Neurospora crassa OR74A: one gene and its partner. The main gene of each other region encodes a partner of the protein of the gene in region 2 in a complex. Links are inferred from orthologs where the notes say so. Each region holds a gene or a part of one and is shown on either strand. Other genes may lie near its edges.

Region 1 (3,657 bases), on a different chromosome or scaffold from region 2:
CCTATTCAATGGGCGGAGCGCAGTGCAGTGAGTGGATGCGACAGCTCTGCTAGGGCGGATCGGCAGAGCGTTTTGTGGAGGGAGTGATGCGCGCGTCCACTGCAGTGCACGTTCCCTTTTTCTGGGGTCCCCTTTTTCTGTTGATCCAAGTCAGCCCCACGCACAAAACACAGGTGAAATCACACCAAATTCGCAGCGCCGGTAAAACATGCAAGCAACTCACCTGAAAACGAATGGTGCTTGGAATGATGTTTTGTTTTGGTTTGAGGAATGGAGAAAAGCGATCCAAAACAAGTCGCGCTGGTAACGACTGAGTCACCGTAAAGAGGGGGGAAAAAGCACTAGGATCAAAGTTTGCCTCCTAGTTCAAAAAAGTGGGAGGGGTTTGTCCGGGTTCTTGTGTTTGTCTTTGGGCGTGAAGAAGCGGAGGGCTGGTTTTAATGAACGATTGAAGAAGGCAGTTGTAGGTAGAGGAGAGAACCGTGACGCAGTGAGTGATGTGATGGGACTGGAGAACCCCAAATACCCCTCCATCACCCTTTCTCAGTGGACGGCGCACGACGGCGCTTTTGATTCCGCGTTGGTGCGTACACTACTATCACAGTACCTCTAAGCAGCGTAGTAGCGCTCTCGACTGGTGGTGTGCCTGTCGGGTGTGTGGCAGTCCCCGGCCGGATTTGCGTCGGATGAACAATTGCGCCAACAACAGCCAGCCAAGTCTGGACTGCTGGCTGATTTCATCATCTACGACGCGCTAGCACACGAGCTCCCGTGACTTATTGTCTTGGCATCCCCTCTTGTTTCTTCAATGTTTCTGCTTTCTGAGTCTTCTCCTCTCTCCTTGACGACGGGCCCCCCTGTTGTTCAAACAGGCAGCGGTGGGCGCAGCGCGGCGTTCACGGTGTTGAACTTCGTCCTATCCAACCAACATTCAGGTGTTGGCTCTCTTCCAGGTTGTTGGACTCGACCACGGCGTGAACCTCGGTCAATCTTCTTCCTTGAAAAATTCCGCCATAATGAGTAATGATGGGATGGATCCTTGGAACACCATCTTGAGCATGGAGTCCTGCTCTTTGTCTGGATTCCGAGACACAGCAGCTTAAGTTGCATGGAAAGCGGGCGCTCACGTCGAACGCGGTGGCTGACTACATGACACGTGAAGAGTCTTTGTGTAACTGAATCTTCCTCTGTATACCAATGGAGTGGCATTTTGACTTGTTCACATTCGCTCTCCTCCTTCAGATGATGCATTGTGCAAGACCTTCCGATTCCCCCGGGACTAGGTGGCTCCACTTCAGGCCGCAAAGATCCACTTTATCGGAGTCAAGCGAGCTGCTGCCTGTCCGATGACGAGGCCGGCTCCGGTAACTCTACACGTGATGGGAACCGGGAGTGCTTCATTGACTGTACCAGGCCTCATCCGGAGTCCGGACACAGCCACTGCTGAGCCACAAATTCAAATAGAAAGGTAACGCACAGACCAAGTCCAGCTCTACTGTCACAGAGTCCGTCACAGCGGCACGGTGCAAGCAGCGGTCGTCACCGCCAGCTCGACGTCAGCGCAGGAGAAGCCGCCATCGCCCATCGCTGGCACGCTGCAGGTCCAGGAAGGCCAGCCCAAGTCCAATTGACCCCATCACCCCGCAAGGCTGCGCCATAGAACCCGGACGCGGTCAAGTCAACACGACATCCCAGATTTACCTAACTTCCAACTTGAACACCATTTGCTTAATCTGGTAATAGCTTCATAGAGGGAGCTTGACACCAACCGTCACAATGCCGGTAAGCGCACCCATTCGCAAGCTCCCAACACCCAGCCGCTATGCGTATAGCTTCCCCAAGCTATACCAGCCAGCCAGCCAGCTACCCCTTAATCGTCAGACAAAGCTTCGTCCATGATCGCATCACCACCACCCACAACACCACGAACCGCTTTGCGCCCAATCGCATTTCTTCGCCTCTCGCCTCACCTCACACACAAATTCCCATTCTCAATCTCTCAACTAACGACGCCACTCTCTAGGCCTACAACTCCGTCTTCAACGCCGACCCCTCCCCCCGCCTAATCGGCAACTTCCCTCTCTTCCCGCTTCGCACCAAGATCCGCGGGCCGATCTACCCTCTCCCCTTCCCGGACCCTCCGCTCGCCGCCAACGAGTCGCCCGACCCGGACTCGGAGTCATACGACATTCTGGACGAGACGCTAGCTCTCTTCCGCGCCAACACCTTTTTCCGCAACTTTGAGATCCAGGGCCCCGCCGACCGCCTGCTGGTCTACGGCATCTGGTACATCAGCGACTGTCTGGGCCGCATCAAGCCGCACTATGGCGTTAGGGAGGCGACGAAGGAAGTGAACAATGCGGCGCTGGATGTGAACTTTGCGTTGCCGGGCGATCCTGGGTGGCCTTTGAATCAGGTGAGTTTTTTTGGCGTAAAGGATTTAGGGCGGAGATAGAATACGGTGAATGTGATGGGAGTAGATGTGGCCCGCGGCGGTGAACAAGAAAATGGATGGCAGCTAATAAGTTTGACGCAAAACAGATGTATGAACCCCCCCGCGACCGTCAAGACGCAGAAGTCCTCCGTCAGTACCTGTCGCAGGTCCGGCAGGAACTGGCGCAGAGGTTATTGGCGCGCGTGTACGACGACGAGACCGAGGACAAGCCGAGCAAGTGGTGGTTGAGCTTTACCAAGAGGAAGTTCATGGGCAAGGGACTCTGATGCGATGCCTTCCCTGTTCAGATGGCGTTGCATGGAATCGTTTAGCGCCAAAGTATAATACGTACTCTACACAAATAATATTTCAAGTTTCCTAGAGTGTGAGGGTGTGTTGGGGCGAGCGAGCAAGACTTTCAGTTGTTGTTGTTTTTGCGTGGTCCGGTTCGATCAGGCATAGATCGAGTACACATACACTTGAAACCCGATCATGAGCGACATGGGTTATATCTCCAGTTGACGTTCGATTAGTAGAATTACTGCAGCTCTATTTCGTGCAAATGGTATCTAAGAGCAAACGAGATCTATGCATATCGGTCATGCTGGTTCTCCTAACTGCTACCACTATCAGACTCCTGCTCATTGTTTGCCCGCCTTTCATGGACAAAGCATAATCATTTAAACCCATGGTCGCCTCCACTCCTCCTCGGCTGGTCGAGTCCACCTACTGTAAGCGAGCCTCGAAACGCTCTAACTGTCTTTTCCTTTCTGACTTTCCCTCGACCTCATTGCTTCCGTGGAAACCTCTGTGTGAGATCTTCCGATGCACGGGGAGAGAAGTGGCATCCTTGAACTCCCATAAATAACTCTTTCCGACCAATCCACTCATGCCGAAGCCGGCGTCGAAACGCTCTCCTCCACCTTTCTCCTCTTAAATTTGCCCTTGGCCGCAATCTTGCCCTCCGCTGGCTTCGCTCTCCATCCAGTAAAGATATATCCATCCGCACCACCGCGCTCCGTCATCAACGGATGCGTCCTGCCCGGCAACACCTGCCACCTCCTCGCCCTGCTAGTCTGGATGCTTGTGCCCAGTAACAGCGTGGGGTTGAGAGGGAACTGCTCGCTTCCCTCCCACTTTTCCAGCTCTTCGGCCGTCTTGCCCTGGATCTCCGCCACGTGTCCGCTGTTCCACGCCGTCCTCCTGGCAACGCTGAAGCAATC
Region 2 (3,785 bases):
GAGGAGGAGGAGGAACATGAACAGGAGATACGGGGTTAAAGTACAGAGGGTGTTGGGGGTGGTTGAATGGGTAGTAGTCGTAGGAACTGTTGTGGTCCATGGTTCAGTTTGTTGTTGTTTGGTTCTTCTGATCCCGCTGTTTCTTCTTCTAACCAGACAACGAAGTAGGCAGGCAGGGAAGATGGAGGCAAAGCGAGGTAAGTTGAGTTTGTTTGGATAGCTGAAAGGGACGGAGTGACGGACGGCTGATTACTTATGGTAAACTGCTTTTGAAGCTGAAGGTCTGGATGAGGAGCGAAAGGATATGGAATAAATAATCGACAGGGACAAAACAATGGTAGGTATGGACATGAATTGTGACATGCACTTCTCCTGCTGCCGGTTATTAGTTCTCTTATGATCCTTTTATGGAAGTTATCACGGCAAATCGGAATGTGTCCGGCAAGCCACAAGCGGAAGTCAATGAATTGCTTTGTATGTATTGAACCTGTATTTGTTCTTGACTGTGTGTCTGATTCACACATACATATCTTGCAAAATTGGCCGGGCGGTCATGACAAACGGATAGCTCACTGTGGAGAAGTGACATGATAAGTCTCTGTACAATGGGTGAATGGACAATCAATCACTTTGGCGGATACCGGGAAGCACGGATAGGGCAGAAATCAAAGACCGGGAAAGTTACCCGCTAAACTGACATTGATGGATCTTGACTTTGAATCTGATTCATTATCAGCCATTCACTCTTGTTCCATTAACATTAGATGTTACGCTTGCTTGCTTGGCTTTTCTGCTTCCCAATGTGTGCAGCAACCCTCTTTCATCGAGGGGAAATCTAGGTGTGCCAGATGACGACTCTGCCGTCAACACCGCTCGCTGTTGTGTCAAGTTAGCATCAATAATTCTTGAAACCACAGGTCATGTAAAAATGGGGAACACTCACAACTAAACTTGGTCACCCGTCCACCACTCTCCTCAAAGGGCCTCAACATAGTAACCGTATTCTGATGCACCGTCTTCAACATGGTATCATCCTTGCTGACCTTACCCTTCAGGTCCATCTGCTTGAACATGTTCAGCGCAGACTCCTCTCTGTCCTCGTCACCAAGACCCGGTCTTCCTCCGGCCTTGGCCTTCTCCAGCGTGCCGGCCAGCTGCCACCCCTGCTCGCCGCCTTGGAAGCGGAAAGCCTCGCAATCGTAACCCGCAGCAATGATCTCAGTCTCTCCGTTCCAGAAGAGGCTCATAAAGGGCAAAAGCTGCGTGTTGATGCTGATCACCGCCTTGGGCGGCTGCTCGGGCGCAGAGGGGTAGACGACGGTGATGGAGGAGTCATGCGCCGCAAACGCCAGAGCGTCGCCGCTCGGGCTGAAGGCAACAGAATGCACCCATCCGGCAGAGTTGTTCAGGAACTCGCCGCAGACCGTGTTGAAAGGCAATCTCTCGCCCCAGGGGCTCGGCTCGGGGCGCTGGTCGGTGCCCTTGATGAAGGCGGAAAAGACGCGGGCGTGGGCGTCGGTGGAGCCGGCAGCAAGAAGAACGCTGTTGGGGTGCCAGGCGACAGAGGTGATGGTGGATCGGATCGGCTTCTTCAGGTGCTTGGATACCCACCAGTCGTTTTCCTCCTCAAAGTAGCAGATGGCGATGACGCGGTCGCCGGAGCCGACGGCGAACTTGGCTTCCGAGGGAGACCAGCGGACGAAGGTGGCGGCGCGGGAAATACGGAGGAGCACGAGGGTGGGCTTGTAGCCGGTGGGGGAGGGTTCCCAGACGAGGGCGTTGCGGTCTGTGAGTTGGGGTTGGTTGTTAGTCTAGCTGACTGTGATGGTGGCATTATGGGGTGCCTGGGTTGCGAAAGGGGGGGCCTACCCTGAGAGCAGGTCACAATACGCCCGGTGTTGGGAGCAATGTCGACGCTGGTGACAAGCTTGTCATGGCCCTTGAGCTCATCCTTGAGCTTGAAGGCATTGCCGACTCTGCCGTAGAGCTCGACCTGGGTGTCGCGGGCAATGGCCAAGGTCTGGCGATCGGCCGAGAAGGAGTGGTCGGCGATGGGGTGGTGGAAGAGATGGTGGACCTCGGGAGCAGCCATTGTGGGTTGTTAGGTTGGTGTTGTGTAGAAATAAGGTATGCGATAGGAGTATAGCTCTCTACTACCGCGCTCGGAATCGGGGACGGTGATGACGGAGAGTGTGATCGAATGTCTTGGTTCGGTGGTGTCGGAGCCGGATGTTGTAATTGGAAAGGGGAAGCTGTGCCCGGGAACGGGAAGCGGGAGAGCTCCGTAACTACAGCGGGCTGGACGCCTGAAATGAGGTCAGACCGCCAGGCTCCAGGGGCACCGTTGCGGCAGCGTATGGTGGTGGGGTTGGCTGCGGGTGGGTGACGCCGCCAAGAGTGCCCTGCTGCCGGCCGGGGCTGACCCACCTGGAACTGGAACCTACTATGGTGAGATGGGTAAGTTAAACCCGTGGATCAGGTCGTCGACCACACAGTGCTCACGAAGCTCTGGCTGTGGTGGTCCGTGCAAGATACCTGACAAGGGGGTTTTACTTTTGCTCGCAACCGCAGTACCTCCAACAAGCTGCACCCACGCCCGTGGGGTTTGTGTACCGATTTCGATGGTTCGTAGGCTGGCTGGCCACTGTCTCCAATTTTTGGACCAGCATCTGAATTGTCGACATCGCATGCGCCGCCGCGACTTGAATTCATGATTGAACACTGAACATCATACACCCGAGCGACGACGACGACGACGACGAGACAATTGACGATATTAACCCCTACCACGAGGCGCCTACGATATACTGAAAATCTACGCGACAATTAACAACCTGCATTGGACAAACAACAACAGCATCAACTCCCGGATTCCTACGCGGCAATGGCTACGCGTATTGCTCCCCCCGCGGGCCTCCCCCAAAAGGTGGTCTCGAACCCGCCAAACCAGACTCTCTACGTCACGAACCTCCCCTCAGCTAAGATCCAGAAGGACGACCTCCGTACAGCACTATACATGCTCTTCTCCACCTACGGCCCCGTCCTCGATGTCGTCGCTCTCAAGACCATGAAGATGCGCGGGCAAGCACACATTGTCTACCGGGACATTCAGACAGCAACACAGGCCATGAGGTCACTTGACGGCATGGAGTTTTTGGGCCGCAAAATGGTAGGTCTTCTCGGGTTGAATATTTCAGCGGTAGCCCTTCACATGCTAACTTGGGTTTGCCTAGAAAATCACCTACGCCAAGGGCCGCTCCAACATCATCGCCAAACTCGACGGTACTCTCGTGCCACCCAAGGCCGCCGCCGCCGTGGCCCTCACCACCGTCCAACAGAGTATCTTTAGTGCCCCAGTACCAGGCGCCCCTACTACGAATACCGAGAGTCCAGCACCACAAGGTTCGCCAGCCAAGCCTCCCGGGACGGAGACAACCACACCGGCAGAGGAGAACCGGGGAACGAAGCGGCCACGGGAGGAGGAGGAAGAAGAGGAGGAGAGCGATTCGGACGTTGCTATGGAGGAAGACAGCGACGAGGACTGATGGGTGTCCACTATGGCATTTGCTTCTTGTTTAAGATACCAGCTCGCGGTGGGGAAGGATGACGAAAAATGAAGGCGCAATGAAGCGGATGGATGAAAAATTCGCCCTCTCGAAGGACAATGCAGAAGACGCACCGCTAGCTGCATGTACAACATACACCGCGCTACTCCCACTTCCTCTAGGCGGAGGAAGGCTCCAAGGCCATTTCCTTGGGGACCCAAAGGCTGACACAGCCGCCGA

What was found.
Region 1: NCU02781 (region 2) and NCU09572 share a complex: the UniProt entries of both Saccharomyces cerevisiae proteins name them as parts of the arp2/3 complex. The link is inferred for Neurospora crassa OR74A from reciprocal best matches to the Saccharomyces cerevisiae genes ARC40 and ARC18.

Annotation. Positions count from the first base shown.
Region 1 is NC_026507.1:962,992-966,648, forward strand, and holds NCU09572 (ARP2/3 complex 21 kDa subunit), read left to right. Parts: upstream 1-1,522; 5' UTR 1,523-1,776; coding exon 1,777-1,782; intron 1,783-2,023; coding exon 2,024-2,416; intron 2,417-2,541; coding exon 2,542-2,721; 3' UTR 2,722-3,056; downstream 3,057-3,657. Other genes in the region: NCU09571 (tRNA (adenine-N(1)-)-methyltransferase non-catalytic subunit trm6), read right to left, coding at 3,322-3,657. UniProt on the Saccharomyces cerevisiae protein: Functions as a component of the Arp2/3 complex which is involved in regulation of actin polymerization and together with an activating nucleation-promoting factor (NPF) mediates the formation of branched actin networks.
Region 2 is NC_026501.1:9,215,993-9,219,777, forward strand, and holds NCU02781 (hypothetical protein), read right to left. Parts: upstream 2,317-3,785; 5' UTR 2,093-2,316; coding exon 1,870-2,092; intron 1,787-1,869; coding exon 944-1,786; intron 877-943; coding exon 836-876; 3' UTR 545-835; downstream 1-544. Other genes in the region: NCU02782 (hypothetical protein), read right to left, coding at 1-100; NCU02780 (U2 small nuclear ribonucleoprotein B), read left to right, coding at 2,885-3,169, 3,234-3,545; NCU02779 (hypothetical protein), read right to left, coding at 3,724-3,785. UniProt on the Saccharomyces cerevisiae protein: Functions as a component of the Arp2/3 complex which is involved in regulation of actin polymerization and together with an activating nucleation-promoting factor (NPF) mediates the formation of branched actin networks.